Xenopus tropicalis: one gene and its partners. The protein of the gene in region 3 purifies or fractionates together with the protein of the main gene of each other region. This does not show direct contact. Links are inferred from orthologs where the notes say so. Each region holds a gene or a part of one and is shown on either strand. Other genes may lie near its edges.

Region 1 (4,064 bases), about 55 Mb from region 3:
TTTCGTAGCACGCGATATTAGCGCACGCTATTGCGCACGTAACCGTTACTTTCTGAAAACTACTGTTCTGAAAATTACCATTTCCCTGAAAACTGGAGGATGCATGACAAGTCCATTTTGTCACCACAGACAATCACCAGCTGCAATTTTGTTTAGTAACGCCTACTCGTGGGTGGCGTTAAGTTTCACAGTAATTATCGCCACATTTTATGCTTTTAATGCTTCAAATATGTTTGTGAATTACACGTTAGTATTATTTCTATTCAATAATTACCTCAATGCGATGGAAATAACGCTTTGCCATAATCAGGCTTTTTGCACATGCGATATGAGTAGTAACGAATGAAAAAAGACTTTGATGATTCGGTACTTAATTATCGAACACTTTTTAATGCACAAAACTATGCGTTACGTGTTAACCACCTTTAGTGAATCCGACCCAATATGTTATCAAACTGACTCCCTCATTTCTGAAAAATGACCATTACCTGCTCATGTATAGGGTCATGTTCTGACCCACAGTAGTTAGCAGTTGAAATTCCACATGATGTGGCCTGGGTCAAACAGTCAGAAAGGTGCAATCTGGGCATTCCCATGCATGGTCACATTTTGCAATGCCAGCAATCTTGCAGTGGGCAGAACCAGTGGATTCTTATGGAACAGAGAGCTACAAGATATTTAAACCTAGCTTAAACTAAAACTAGGATTGTTTCATATTTCTATCCCTATTATTTTTTACCAATTCTAACTGACTGTGCCTTTAGGGATACAAATTGCATTAAAATACAAAAGCCGTGCAGATACTCACAGCAATTTCATCTTCAATTTTGTTTAAAGTCAACTCAGCATCGTCCTCAATTACATTTTCTTCGTCTTGCTCTTCTGTTGGGTATGTAGGCCTATAATGATACAGAACATGGCAACGGACAGATTAGATACAATAAACATACTTATAAAAATCTTACACTGAGAACCCTACAAATATACTACTTTCTGCTTTCCCCTGCATCATTTACTTTATTTATCATCACTAACACCCCCTCTTAACAGGCACCAGCATATAATAATCTTTCTAATGTTAACTTACTTTATTTACTATTCTTTAAAATAATTTCTGAAACAAAATCAGGTAGTAGGCTATTACTGTGAATAAACAAACTATAACTATTATAATTATATTGTCATTTTAATGCTCTGGCACTCAGACCATGCAACATTTATCATCAGTTTACAAAGCACATATGAATTAGGGCCCCTACTTGTTAACATTTTGCGGAGTCATGGAGTGCTTCCACCAAAAAGCATGTGTAATATTATATTCTCTTTTCTCTGTGGATTATATAAAAACCTATTTAAATGCCCCTGCATCTGAAATCTTCCTGGGGTATGGTTATTTAACCAATGAAAGGTAAGATTTTTAAAAACCTATAATTAGGATGTAGCAGTGACATTCTAGAAACTTTTTCAGTTGTTCATGGGCTTCTTAAGTGGGGAGAGAAAGAAAGTATGTGCTCCAGAAACAGTGTCAAGAGCTCATGATGACAATATTAGTTTTTTAAACTCATGCAGGGTTTCGGGGAAAAAAAAAAAACTTTCATTGAGGTATTTTTCTACCAGCGGGCTTTCTTAAATAAGAAAAAGTTTGGCAGCTTTTAGGTGAAAAATACCTCAACTAATGAGGCCTTTTTGCCCCCGAAAGCCCTGTGAGTTCCTAAACTTACGCAGGGTTTCCTTTAAAGATTCCTCAAGCTGAATGGCTCAAACAATAATAAATCTGCCCCAGCCATTCTTGGCATAGCGGATTTTAAGAATGCAATTGGCTAGGTAATATACAGTGGCCAAATGTCATTCACCAAGATAACCTCTCTTATAGAACATAACATAGCTGTTAAAAATAAACATGCACATATAAATACAACAGTAGTTGCTGCTGAGCCAACATGCAAGGCCACTATCAGAGACAAAAGGAATGCCTGGAGAGTGTACAGTAGCTGTACAGGTTACACACACATACTGAATCTATAAAGGTCCAATCTAATGTACAATCTACAAACAATACTATCCAATAGAAAACATAACCAACCTCTTCCAGCTGAAGTGAATATGTTTTAAGACTTCCTCTGCAAAACAATCAAGCACATAGCACACTTGTTCTCCATACCCTGCCTTTAGCCTAGAAGGTGGAAAATCTACAGAATATCCCTGCAAAAAAAGCCAAAAAAAAATTATCAGATTAAAGACTCCAAAAAAAGCACAAAAGATGAAAATTAAAACTGAAAACTTACAAATGATCTTAACTCTGATAGAATATTGGAGATGGTGGCATTTGGGTCATCATACTCTTGTGGCTGATCAAAATGATGTCCAGCTTTACTTATAAGCCAAGCAGCAAGTGTGCAAAACATATAGAACTGCTCCCCAGGGTTTGTAGGTAAAGCAAAGTAGTGCCTGTTAATATAAAACAAACAGATTTTAGACTGTTGAATTAAGTTTGTAGAGCTGCAGTGGTCTTCTTCAGCAAACCTTTCTGGATAATGGGATTACGGATAATGGATCCTATACCTGTATATCAATATTTCTTTCTTACCTGGAAAGTGGTTTCATGTTTTGCTTTCTTAGAACCTCATCTTCATAACTGAGTAGCTTTAACTTGTCCAATAAATCCTCCATCATTAGAAAAGCTTGATATGCAGCACCAGGACCGCGATCATCATCCTCCACTCTTCTACTGTCCTCTGACATTGTTAAAGGTTTGCCAGCGGGGTGTTTGATTTCAAATTAAAGCGCACTTAAGAGAATTTAATATAGAAGAGATTATCTAAAATAAAAAGCATAAAATTAACATTAAATCAAACATTTTCTGTGCTGAGCTGTAACTCATGTTTTTCCCAGTTATTCCTTGTTTCATTATTTTGGAATATATTTAAATTTACACAGTTACATAGTTGAGTTGAAAATAAGACCAGAGTCCATCAAATTCTACCCATCCAATCGAACCCAGCACCCACAAACCTATACTGACCTATCTATACACTCACATACACAAACCATACATACCAACATCAATACTACTATGCTTGTGCAAGAACCCATCCAGGCCCCTTTTAAAGGCATTAACAGAATCTGCCATTACAACATCACTAGGAATGACATTCCACGACCTCCACCACCTACGCTGCTTCAAGTGGAAGCTCCGTTCCTCTAATCTAAAGGGGGAGGGGGGGCTCTGGTGCATTGATCTGTTATAATATTTACATCCCTGCCAGTGATCGGAACAATTAAAAGAAAGTTCGATTTATAATTCAGTGCCTGCTGGTCTTACTTTTTGTGGGTTTTGCTATATTTTGCTCTACAGTTCTCCAGTTTTATATTTAAACTGCTGGTTGCTATGATTATTTTCCTTTGCAATGAGGCATCTGTTTTTATGTCAAAATGAAGAATGAATATATGAGGGCCTATATGGAATTATAATTAATAAAAATAATTGTAATAATAAAAGCTATGTTCCTGCTTACCAACATCCACCTTTAGCAAGGGATACCCTGAAAATGTTTTATGCAAGTCTGCTTTGCATGTTGTGTATTATATTTGAGTATTTGTATATGCATTCCATATTAAAGGTGGTTGTTGGTAACTTACTTTAAAGAAAACTATACCCAAAGAATGAATACTTATCCAGACAGTTTATATTATGTCAAGTGACCTATTAAAGAATCTCACCAAACTGGAATATTATATATATATATATATATATATATATATATATATATATCAGTAAATATTGCCCTTTTACATCTTTCCCTTGATCCACCATTTTTGTAAAGGGCTGTGGGCTCCCTCAGAGATCACATGACCGGGAATAATGCAGCTCTAACTGTAACAGGAAGAAGTGTGGGAGTAAAAGGCAGAACTGTCCATTCATTGGCTGATGGGGCCTAGCAGTATGTGTGTCTTGGCTTGTTTGTGTGCACTGTGAATCCAATGATCCCAGGGGTGGCCTTTAATTCTTAAAATGGCAGTTTTCTATTTAGCATTACCCAATAGCACATACTACTAAAAAAGCT
Region 2 (4,240 bases), on a different chromosome or scaffold from region 3:
CCTTAGTATATGTAAAAATAAAAGGTTTCTGCCTGTGTCTTGAGGTATCTTCTTGCTTCCCACATAGTTCCACTGAGAATCCTTTAGAGAAAAGGCGGCATGGGCGAGTCCTGAGCTCAGAGACATGTGACCCAACAACTGACAGCTTTCCTCTCTCTCGCACATAAACCGGTCCTGTCTCCTCGTTCCTCTCTGGCTCAAGGCACTGAAACATCTTCTTACAGGAAAAGAAAAAAAGTTTTAAGCAAATGTAATATTCCATTCTAACTTAGCAATTGTTTATTGGTGTAATAGGGTAATGCCCCTTCAGTTTATTAGAAGTGATCTCACCTTACCTTTCATCCGCAAAAACTAAGTAGTTTTGTTTCACTGCTGTTTATTAAGGACACTGCATCTTGTCTGAATGACAGAGGTTTTCACTAGAAAGTATTTAGGTCAAAGCTATTTATTTCCAATTAAAATTGTGACTCATGCAGACTCTTTATATATTTATATGCTTACAAAATCTAGCTTGTCCTGAAACAAGATAAAAATAAGACTAAATTGAAACACTGAGCTGTAAATCTCACCCCATACATCTAGATGAAATAAATCACAATGAAAAAGGGGCTATGGAAAACAATATATATAATAATATATATGACCATCTTTAATAAGATATATATTGCCAATGTAAAAGAAAATGTAGAGTCCATATGTGCAGATAGAGCAAGGGAACACATATTAGCAATGGGTGCCTTTATAAACAAAGTAAATTAAGAATGCAAAGGTGATTATAATTCAAAAAGGAAAAAGCAGAGCTATAGCCTAACACTGTTGTTTTCTAACAACTTCTTTGGACCCTACAGTCCTGCACTGGCTAAAACTAGGCTAGTTCATAAGAATGTCAATATAAAACAGTGATAATTACAAGGTAACGGTGCATTATATTAAAGTTCTTTTTTGTGTAAGATTACCATCAAAGATGATATTTACTGAATACACATGCTGTAAGTTGGGTGTCGTGCATGACCGCACACAAACCCTTGATTCAAAATGAATGTTAATGGTTCTGTAATTCAAGGCAGCGCTGTACAGTAACTTCCTATTCCAATCGGTTTACAGTCTAAATCAAATGCTAATTCTCCTAGGAAATGAAGGAGCTTCCCATCTCAAATCCACAAGCATAAAGAATAAAAAAAAAAACTTCCGAGTGTGAGTTTTGATCACCACACGCTCATGGTGACACCATAACGGACAATATTTACACATAAACTATAAAACCAGAGACTCACCTCTCTGCAGAGACCAGTAAACTGCACCCGGAACGTCTGCTCTACGGAACCTTCCCCCCCGGCCGCGCACACTATATACGCTAACTCGGGAACACAGCTCTGGCACCGGAAGACGTTCCAAATTGCTAGGCAACGGCGTAACAACAGGGGGGAAAGTAAGTGGAGCGAATGTGAAGGGGCTGCTTGTTAGTTCCACGCCAAAGCCACGGCCTGAGCATGACACGGGCAGGGGACTTGTGCCTGAGTTGTGCCGGAGCCCGGGTCACACTGGCTACCAGCAGCGATGACAGACACCCGGCAGACAACATTATAGACGGGTGGGTATTGATGTGCTCAGGCTTTCTCCATTAGTAGTACAGCCATGCCGGCTGCTGCGGGGATATTATTCTCACAATGTAATGTTCCCAGTAGTTTTTGTTGGCTACCTGTGGCAAAATGTTCCTGTTTGCAATTTTTCTAAAAGCTGTAGTGTGTGTTATAGTGCTTGAGCTTGGGCAAGTACTGATAAATAACTAATAGCATACAAATAAATAGAGGACCTAGACATTAAAGAAATAGTTCAGTGTAAAAATGAAACTGGGTAAAATGGATGGCCTGCGCAAAATACAAAATTTTTGCAATATAATTAGGCAAAAATGTAATCTATAAAGGCTGGAGTGGGCAGATGTCTAACATAATAGCCAGAACTTTACTTTTTGCTTTCAGCTCTCTAACCTCTTATGGTGGCCATACACACTAAGATCTGCTCGCTTGGCGAGGTTGCCAAGCAAGTGGATGTTCTCTTGATATCCCCAACTATGGGTGGGCGATATCTGGCTAATTCGGTCGTTTGGCCAACATAGGCATCTGCAGGATCCAACTGATTTTTAAACCTGCCCGATCAATATCTGCCCCATTTCAGGCCAGATGTTGGTCGGGCAGACCCGTCTTTAGTGCCCATACATGGGCCGATAAGCTGGCGAATTGGTCTTAAAGGACCGATATCGGCAGCTAGAATTGGCCCGTGTATGGCAGCCTTTAGTTAGTCAGTGACTTTACGGGGGGGGGGGGGGGGCTAGGGGGCTAGGGACATGGGACATAACTGTTCAGTTAGTTTGTGAGCACGCAGGTCAGATTCAGTAGCAAACTGAACAGTTATGTCCCATATGCCACCCCCCTCAAGCCACTGATTAGTTACTTTGACCGGCCCTGTCAGCACTGTAATTGTAAAATATTTGAAGGAGCTTGCGTCACTCAAAACATTGATGCACAAGTGGTTTCTATAAATGTGTTATTTTTTCCCCACCTACTTCTCACGATGTCACTTCCTGTTTATTAGTGGTCAGGTTGTGGGTAAGGCAGTTGCAGATCAGGTAAAGGGCCAAAGCACGTAAAAATGCAGGGCAGAGGTCTGGGTTGGGTTTCAAAAATTGCGCAGGAGTCTATCAGGGCCTACTTCAGATCCTAGTATGTACCTGGTTGCATTGGTATGTTGGGCTCAACCAGATAATACTGTTCAGACTTTGTTTTTCTCTCATACAGTTACATAATTATGTTATGTTTTGTTTAGAAACCCAGACACATTCTGGACAACGACTGGTATGTATCCTCAAGAATTCATAATCAGTTTGAATGGCATTCAGAAAATTAACAAGATCATCCTCCAGAGCTCATTAGGTAAAATGGAGAAATCATAAATTTAGTTTTTGCTTCTTCATCTTTGGCAGTTAACTTTGAATATTATTGTGTAACTGATCGTACCATGTATTTCAACTTTACTTCATGTCATAATATTATAATGCAATAAAAGTATAGGTTGTTCCCTAGAAGCCCATAAATTTATATTTTTCATTGTGCCACTCTCAGGCTTTGAATTTTAACTGGTTGCTAAGGCTTACCTGTCTAGGAAATCAGGCATCAGTTTAGATGTTAGGATGGAAGATGAAAGTAGTGGGATAACAATGCAAAAATGGTGAAATATAAAGTATGGCTGCTGGATCAGTGACCCCATAAAACACAGAGATTTTTTTTGTTGCAGGGCAGAAAGAAGTAGGATAGCGAATAATTAAAAACCAGAATAAATAAGAAAGTAGACCGTTTGAAAAGTTGCTTAAAATAGGTCTATCGACAACATACTAAAATTGTTTTAAAGGTAAACCTCCTCTGTAACTCTTTTTCCCACATGGTTGAACTCTTCATTTATCTTTATACTTACTGGTGTTTTTGCTCTCTGCAGTTAACTAAATGCATTTATGACTCACATTTCATAATTTTATTTTATTATTCCTTTGGCCTTTATGGTTTTCAGTACGATCTGTAAGAATTGAATCAAGCACATCCAAAGAACCTGTAAACTTTGAGCTCCGTCTAGAAAGAGGTAAGCAATTAAACATGCACCATATTTAAATTTGATAAACATTCTGTATTGTGTAACATATGCAACTTTAATGAACTATAGAAGACACTTGGAAGATAAGCAGTAGGATTCATGATACCCTTAAAAGAGTGGGGTACTACATGTTAAGACTTTTTTTTGACAAAACAAACTTTTTTAGATATGTGGCATTTTATATGTTTACATTTGTAAATGCAGTGTTTTCCTGAAAATGATTGATAATAAACGTACTTAAGCATAGTGTAATGCTGGCAAAAGAAGCCTTTTGCCCACCAGCAGTCACAGATCTTCAGCTGGCTTCATCTGTAGTTTCAGAAGTTTCCTATTTCTAGTCAAATATTTTCTTCTGAACAATTCTTGGAGAAAATGATAATGAATTAGGGATCATTTTAGATAACAAACAACCATCTGCAAAGTGCAAAAAAAAAAGGCCCGGATGGGTGTGTCTTGCACACAGCCTTTTGGTCTTTGCGAATTGCAGCAGGTCACTGTGTTCTGTTTTGGAGTGCTGTATTGGTGAGGTGAGCTTGTTGGTGCTATATTGGAGGCGCCTATGTTTCTTACCCCTACCTGTCCCTAACTTGCGCATCTT
Region 3 (4,354 bases):
TTGAGTTGCAGACAACCAAATATGCAACAAAGAAGGCCACATCAGTTTAGGAACACTAGTTTTTTTTTTAAGAATCACTTTAAAGTTTATAAGGACAGGAAAATATTAATCTAAGTGTGGGCTGTATTGCTAAAGTAGGTGTGACTATTCACATAGGTTTATAAACAAACCAGAAAAAACACAGGGAAAATGTCCACTGACCTGCAATGAACTCATTTTGACAGATTAACAAAGCAGTGAAGTGAAAAGAACTGGCTAGGATACAACAGAGGTGTTACACTAACACTGTTATGTATTATGGAAAAAAAAACGACAAAGTTAAAAAAATAAATTCCTTTACTTAGTATTGCTCTGGCCATTCCAGGTTCTGTAACCTTGTCCAGTTATACTGCTATAAAGCAACACAAACATACAAAAAGTAAACATTCGCCTATAACTAGTGTTCCCACCTGTTTTGGAAAAAAATACTGACCTTCCTATATTTTTGAATAATTTTTCATTATTAATAACATTGCCATTAAACATAATTTTTACTAGCCAGGCCGGTAAAATACCAGCCAGGTGGCAACCAGAGGCCCCCCCTTTAGATTAGAAGAACGGAGTTTCCATTTGAAGCAGCGTAGGTGGTTTTTCATGGTGAGGGCAGTGAGGTTGGGGAATGCCCTTCCTAGTGATGTGGTAATGGCAGATTCTGTTAATGTCTATAAGAGGGGCCTGGATGAGTTCTTGAACAAGCATAGTATCCAAGGCTATTGTTATACTAATATCTACAGTTAGTACTAGTGGTTGTATATACTGTATAGTTTATGGATATTATAGATTGGTAAGTATAGGTTGTGGGAGCTGGGTTTACTTGGAAGGGTTGAACTTGATGGACTCTATACTCTCTATACTATCAAGGGTTGAACTTGATGGACTCTTTAGTCCCCCCCCCCCCAGGCCCATGCCTCTTTTGCCTACCCCTATTTCCTGACCTGCCTCCCCACCTCTGGATGGAAGGCATGGAACACTGGCTGGGTGGTGCGTTATCTTAGGTACACCTAGAAGCCCATCTTGAAGGTCTGTTAGAATGAAATTTAGGAGTCTTCCTTTATTATCTTCCCTCTCTATTAATAACATTGGCATCAAACATAATTTGCACCAGTCAGACCAGTAAAATACTGCCCATATATCAACCCTAGACACAAGTCACCACTTACGCTATCACTGTCTAGGTCCAGATTTTACCACTGGACCATAACCTTCTTCCTCCGTCCTCAATAAAGCCCCCTTACAGGTCAGTGATTTAATATGATAGGTTTAATAAGGTCTGATAAAAGTACAAATGGGGCCTTAAATTACTTTCTAAAAGAATTTCAATATGAATTAAAAATCATTGTTGCGCACTTTCTGAGGTAACCCCTGCACTTTTCCCTACAACTTCACGGTGACGCGCAGACTTTAGTCGGTACCCGTACGTGCGCGCCCCCGGCGGCTAAACGGTTGCCTAGCAACGACGAGACGCTTCCCGCAGAACCCGTCACGAATTCCGAGCCAATCGCTGGCTTGTATTAGATACTGAGGGGCATGATGGGAATTTTCTCCATGGAGCTGCATAAGGCGTCAACAGACTGAAAGTGCTCATAGTGTAAGCGCCGTGAAGAACCATATAAGTAAACGGGTAAGGAGCTTACTACTGCCTGCAGTTTGATATAAGCACGGGTCTTCTAATATAATAATAATAATAATAATAAATTGTCTGGTTCGATATCGCTTTACAAAAAGTAAGGATCGGCCGTGTGAGGGGAATGCAGATAATTGGTGAGTTTGTTGTAGAGGAGAGCTCCAGTCTCTGTTAGCAGGCTGGGAGGGGATGCTGGGAAGGGGATGCTGGGAAGGGGATGCTGGGAAGGGAATGCTGGGAGGGGATGCTGGGAAGGGAATGCTGGGAAGGGAATGCTGGGAAGGGAATGCTGGGAAGGGGATGTTGGGAAGGGGATGTTGGGAAGGGAATGCTGGGAGGGGATGCTGGGAAGGGGATGCTGGGAAGGGAATGCTGGGAGGGGATGCTGGGAAGGGAATGCTGGGAAGGGAATGCTGGGAAGGGGATGCTGGGAAGGGGATGCTGGGAAGGGGATGCTGGGAAGGGAATGCTGGGAAGGGAATGCTGGGAAGGGGATGCTGGGAAGGGGATGCTGGGAAGGGGATGCTGGGAAGGGGATGCTGGGAAGGGGATGCTGGGAAGGGAATGCTGGAAGGGAATGCTGGGAAGGGAATGCTGGGAAGGGGATGCTGGGAAGGGAATGCTGGAAGGGAATGCTGGGAAGGGGATGCTGGGAAGGGAATGCTGGAAGGGGATGCTGGGAAGGGGATGCTGGGAAGGGGATGCTGGAAGGGAATGCTGGGAAGGGGATGCTGGAAGGGAATGCTGGGAAGGGAATGCTGGGAAGGGGATGCTGGGAAGGGGATGCTGGAAGGGGATGCTGGGAAGGGGATGCTGGAAGGGAATGCTGGGAAGGGAATGCTGGAAGGGAATGCTGGGAAGGGAATGCTGGGAAGGGGATGCTGGAAAGGGGATGCTGGAAGGGAATGCTGGGAAGGGGATGCTGGGAGTTGTATGTGGAGGGACACAGTTGGGCCTCACTAAGCTGAATGCCAGGCACTAGTACCTCTGTAATGTAAGCTCCCAGTAATAACAATAATAACATAGGTGCAGCCCAGATGTTCACTGAAATGTGCCAAAATACATAGTAGATTTGGAGATAATATAATATAAAACAGACAAAAGTTTAATCTTTTGCCCAAAAGAAACCTACCAATTGTCTAGTTGTTCCAGAGCTGAAATATCCCCATCAGTGCCATATCTGCTTTCCCTTAGAAAATTATTACTGATCCTAGAGGAACAATCTGAGCAGTCCCTGTCTGGGCAACTTGTACTAATCATTTACAGAGAGCTATGCATATATGTTCATATGTGGCTTTAAATCGGTAATAATAGCAACACTTGTAAGAAAGCCATTCCTACATTGTGAAAGTTGGAATAAATTGGGGAGTGGTTGTCATTTTTTACTGTTATTGAAATACATAATGGTGATATTAAAGTTGAACCAAGGTAAAAATATCTGCTGTGATTTTAATCCCCAACTTTCTACCCCAGGCCGGTACAACCAGCACTGTTACTATGTAGTAACATAGTAAGTTAGGTTGAAAAAAAGACATACGTCCTTCAAGTTTAACCACAATGCCTATATATAATCTGCCTAATTGCTAGTTGATCCAGAGGAAAGAATAAAACCCCACCTGAAGCCTCTCTAATTTGCTGCAGTGGGGAAAAAATTCCTTCCTGACTCCAAGATGGCAATCGGACCAGTCCCTGGATCAACTTGTACTAAGAGCTATCTCCCATACCCCTGTATTCCCTCACTTGTACTGAGAGCTATCTCCCATACCCCTGTATTCCCTCACTTGTACTGAGAGCTATCTCCCATAACCCTGTATTCCCTCACTTGTACTGAGAGCTATCTCCCCTACCCCTGTATTCCCTCACTTGTACTGAGAGCTATCTCCCCTACCCCTGTATTCCCTCACTTGTACTAAGAGCTATCTCCCATACCCCTGTATTCCCTCACTTGTACTGAGAGCTATCTCCCCTACCCCTGTATTCCCTCACTTGTACTGAGAGCTATCTCCCCTACCCCTGTATTCCCTCACTTGTACTGAGAGCTATCTCCCCTACCCCTGTATTCCCTCACTTGTACTGAGAGCTATCCCCCCTACCCCTGTATTCCCTCACTTGTACTGAGAGCTATCTCCCCTACCCCTGTATTCCCTCACTTGTACTGAGAGCTATCTCCCATACCCCTGTATTCCCTCACTTGTACTGAGAGCTATCTCCCCTACCTCTGTATTCCCTCACTTGTACTGAGAGCTATCTCCCCTACCCCTGTATTCCCTCACTTGTACTGAGAGCTATCTCCCATACCCCTGTATTCCCTCACTTGTACTGAGAGCTATCTCCCATAACCCTGTATTCCCTCACTTGTACTGAGAGCTATCTCCCATACCCCTGTATTCCCTCACTTGTACTGAGAGCTATCTCCCCTACCCCTGTATTCCCTCACTTGTACTGAGAGCTATCTCCCCTACCCCTGTATTCCCTCACTTGTACTGAGAGCTATCTCCCCTACCTCTGTATTCCCTCACTTGTACTGAGAGCTATCTCCCCTACCCCTGTATTCCCTCACTTGTACTGAGAGCTATCTCCCATACCCCTGTATTCCCTCACTTGTACTGAGAGCTATCTCCCATAACCCTGTATTCCCTCACTTGTACTGAGAGCTATCTCCCATACCCCTGTATTCCCTCACTTGTACTG
Region 4 (3,564 bases), on a different chromosome or scaffold from region 3:
AACAAGAACAGAAGAATCAGGTATATACCACCCTGACCCACTTATATAGTTTTAGACTGGTTGCTTTAACTTGCATGCTTTAACAGATTTGGTAATAAAGATTACAAACGTAAGGTAAGTATTTGAACATATGGACAGAAACTTTTGTGTACATATTGTGTACAGACCATACTGTATACAAACCATAATTTTACATTTTAGATTTTTAACAGGATAAAAATAATAATAATGTAGCCTAATAATAAGCTTCCCTAAGTTTCTAATTACCACATAAATTTCAGTGCAGTTCTCATGGGATACATCATGAGATAATTTTTTTAATGTTTTTCTATAATTGTGAATGCTATTCTGCTTTCCATACATTTGGCTTTGTTTTGAAGCTGTTTCATGCAGAACAGAGGCTGCAAAGAGCACAACTTCAGCTGAAGAATATGCGCAATGCTGCTGCAGATGCAAAACCTGAAGGTTGGTAAAAGCACATTTTTTTTTTTAAACTAATGTGTATACATTTGGTCAGTATCCACTGTTCTACTTCCTGCTGCCTGCCCAGGCTGTGCAGGGAAGCTCGTGGCATTCAGCACAATGCACTGTAGGATAGGAACCAATCAGCTTACCTAATAGCAAACCAAAGCCTTTCTTTGCTTGTGTGAATGCAGGGCTGTGATTTGCTATCACCTTACTACTGTGTTTCTGACAGGGAACGTTAGAACAAGCCCCCCCCCCCTCACTGTAAACACAGAGACCATATCAAATCCATAGGGCGCACCAATAAATGGGCCATTTTAATAATGGCCCATTATTAATAATTATTAATATAAAATAATAATTATTTTTAGCCCAGAGTAAAATATGCACCATTTATTTTTAATTATTGCCTACATGATTCAGGGGAGGTTCACTTATGCTATATGTCTCCTTTATAAATGTTGCCTTCTTAATTGTTTTTATAGATTGTTTGATAAAAATAATATTTGGGTTTTATATTCTGTCAAGGTCTTATGAAAAGACTGGAAGAGGAAATGAAATTTCATTCATATATGGTTTCTGAAAAGCTTCCGAAAGAACTAGAGAGCAAACGGCAGACTTTGCATTTCCAGCAGAAAGTTGTCTCAGAGCCAGCAATGAGTCAAGCTGATCTAACTGAGCTTGAAGAAAAGGTATATGTAATTTTCCTGTTATGTACTGAGAGGTAGTAGTTTGTTTTAGGAGACACCTTGGACAAGCAGATATTTCTTTATTAGGTTGTTCCAGATGTAAAGAGGGGATGTACAAATATATACAACGATACATAGATTCTTGACTGGTTTGTCTGCCTATTGGCAATGAAAAGTGGAGCCATAACTGCATTGTACATTTAGTTGTGCAAATAAATTTCTCTCCCTCACCCCCTTACGCTTACTCTTCTTCTTATCTGTTTTCTTACTTCTCTTGCAATTTACCTTTTATTTTAATCATGTTATCCCTGGAAATTCCCTTTCCACCTTTCAAATGACTTTTCTTCTCACCTTCTTGTTTTTTGTCTCACACATTTGTCTTTTCTTCTCACATCTTGTTTTTCTTTATCTTCTCTGCCCTTCTGTATTCCCTATCTGATCATTTCTCCTTTTTTTTCTCCAGACCTTTTCTGTTTCTCTAACTATTTTTGTCCCCATAGTAAGCACTGATTTACTTTTTAAAATTTTCCTTTTCTACACCTCTCAATCTTACCCCTTCCCTATGTGGTTTAAAAGTACAATAACACCAAACAATTAAAGTCTTTTAAAGCATACAGTTGTCCTGCACTGGTAAAGCTGGTGTGTTTTCTTCAGAAGTGCTACTGTAATTGATATCAGTATACGCATATACGCTCAGTAGAATTCAATGAATTCAAATTCCTGTGTAGAAATAAACCCATTGTATTCTACAGAACTTATCTGCTGTTTTGCCATTTAGCCCTATTTCAACTTGAATGGCTCCCTTTGGGGCTACACAGCAGTTTTTTATATAAACTAGTGCTTCTGAAGCAAACACACAATTTTTACAAGTACAGGGCAACAAAACATACTACAGGTTTGGGATCCGTTATTCAGAAAGTTACAAATTACGGAAAGGTCATCTACCATAGACTCCATTATAAGCAAATAATCCTAATTTTTAAAATTGATTTCCCTTTTCTCTGTAATAATAAAACAGTACCTTGTACTTGATCCCAGTTAAAATATAATTAATCCCTACTGGGGACAAAACAAGCCTATTGGGTTTATTCAATATTTAAATGATTTTTAGCAGACTTAAGTTGTGAAGATCCAAATAACGGAAAGATCCCTTATCCGGAAAACCCCAGGTCCCGAGCATTCTGTATAACAGGTCCCATACCTGTATTTGAATTACTTGGTTTTGAATGTAACTACAGTTCTAATTAAAATGTCTTGGTAACACATTTTACCCTTTAAGTGCAATATTCCTGCTTTTTTCCTGTGGCAGAAACCTACACTGTACTAGAGCTGTTTTTTCCTAGCAGTGTGCTGGGTGTTCCCCCTGGACAATGTTCTGACTATATTTAAAGTGCAATAACATATTATACATACAAATATATTGTTTCCCTGTAAAGCAATAATTTTTCCTAGGTAGTAGGCCTTGCATTTTTAAATACAAAATATCTGAAAGTCTAGCTTGTACTGAAAAGAACTTTCTGAGCATGTACCGAATGATAAAAAGAAATATTGTATGATTTCTTTTCATTTTTAAGATCCATGAAGTAAATTTGCAGATTAATCAGCTGATTGAAAATCGAATGAGAAATGATCCAATGGATGACAAACTGTCTCTTTTTCGGCAACAGGTAATGAAAAGATTTTTATTAAAGGAACAGTAACACCAAAAAATGAAAGAGCTTTAAAGTAATAAAAATATAATGCACTGTTGCCCTGCACTGGTAAAACTGGTGTGTTTGCTACAGTAACACTACTATAATTTATATAATAAGCTGCTGTGTAGCCACGGGGGCAGCCATTCAAGCTGGAAAAAAGGAGAAAAGGCACAGGTTACATAGCAGATAACAGATAAGCTCTGTAGAATACAATAGTGTTTTATCTGTTATCTGCTATGTGCCTGTGCCTTTTCTTCTTTGAATGGCTGCCTCCATGGCTACATAGCAGCTTATTTATATAAATTATAGTAGACGTTCTGAAGTAAACACACAACTTTTACCAGTGCAGGGCAGCAGCACATTATATTTTAGTTACTTTTATACACTTTCATTTTTTGGTGTTACTGTTCCTTTAACATTTACCAACTTGTGAAGCATTTATTTTATTTACTGTATTGAATACAAGGTAATACACCTCTAGGCTCAGCAAACTAAATGAACAGACTGTCATTTTAAAAGGTTTATGCAGGGCTGGATTTCAATTGAGGGTGTCTAAACTGGGATTCAGAATAGGCTGTGGCATTTCCAGTACACAGAGGCCCAAACAGCCCACCAATAGCCCAATAAATAGTAACTGTCTATGGCATCTTACAGCAGCCCCAGTGGCATTTGCCTGGATCCACAGATTGCCAGTACAGGCCTCCTGGATTTTCTAT

Evidence for each region.
Region 1: the proteins of ift88 (region 3) and ift57 purify together in Homo sapiens (affinity purification with mass spectrometry; 3 studies listed by BioGRID and IntAct, counting the BioPlex papers as one, with this or other methods). This does not show direct contact. The link is inferred for Xenopus tropicalis from reciprocal best matches to the Homo sapiens genes IFT88 and IFT57.
Region 2: the proteins of ift88 (region 3) and hspb11 purify together in Homo sapiens (affinity purification with mass spectrometry; 3 studies listed by BioGRID and IntAct, with this or other methods). This does not show direct contact. The link is inferred for Xenopus tropicalis from reciprocal best matches to the Homo sapiens genes IFT88 and IFT25.
Region 4: the proteins of ift88 (region 3) and ift81 fractionate together in Homo sapiens (co-fractionation; 3 studies listed by BioGRID and IntAct, with this or other methods). This does not show direct contact. The link is inferred for Xenopus tropicalis from reciprocal best matches to the Homo sapiens genes IFT88 and IFT81.

What each region holds. Positions count from the first base shown.
Region 1 is NC_030678.2:103,607,908-103,611,971, forward strand, and holds the start of ift57 (intraflagellar transport protein 57 homolog), read right to left. Parts: upstream 2,821-4,064; 5' UTR 2,743-2,820; coding exon of another isoform or gene 2,671-2,742; coding exon 2,588-2,670; intron 2,449-2,587; coding exon 2,286-2,448; intron 2,203-2,285; coding exon 2,084-2,202; intron 900-2,083; coding exon 809-899; intron 1-808. UniProt on the Homo sapiens protein: Required for the formation of cilia. Plays an indirect role in sonic hedgehog signaling, cilia being required for all activity of the hedgehog pathway.
Region 2 is NC_030680.2:97,386,774-97,391,013, reverse strand, and holds the start of hspb11 (intraflagellar transport protein 25 homolog), read left to right. Parts: upstream 1-1,389; 5' UTR 1,390-1,490; coding exon 1,491-1,591; intron 1,592-2,823; coding exon 2,824-2,930; intron 2,931-3,561; coding exon 3,562-3,630; intron 3,631-4,240. Other genes in the region: lrrc42 (leucine-rich repeat-containing protein 42), read right to left, coding at 1-214. UniProt on the Homo sapiens protein: Component of the IFT complex B required for sonic hedgehog/SHH signaling.
Region 3 is NC_030678.2:158,960,547-158,964,900, forward strand, and holds the start of ift88 (intraflagellar transport protein 88 homolog), read left to right. Parts: upstream 1-1,495; 5' UTR 1,496-1,660; intron 1,661-1,701; exon of another isoform or gene 1,702-1,800; intron 1,801-4,354. UniProt on the Homo sapiens protein: Positively regulates primary cilium biogenesis. Also involved in autophagy since it is required for trafficking of ATG16L and the expansion of the autophagic compartment.
Region 4 is NC_030677.2:162,587,994-162,591,557, forward strand, and holds part of ift81 (intraflagellar transport protein 81 homolog), read left to right. Parts: coding exon 1-20; intron 21-380; coding exon 381-465; intron 466-993; coding exon 994-1,157; intron 1,158-2,728; coding exon 2,729-2,821; intron 2,822-3,564. UniProt on the Homo sapiens protein: Component of the intraflagellar transport (IFT) complex B: together with IFT74, forms a tubulin-binding module that specifically mediates transport of tubulin within the cilium. Binds tubulin via its CH (calponin-homology)-like region.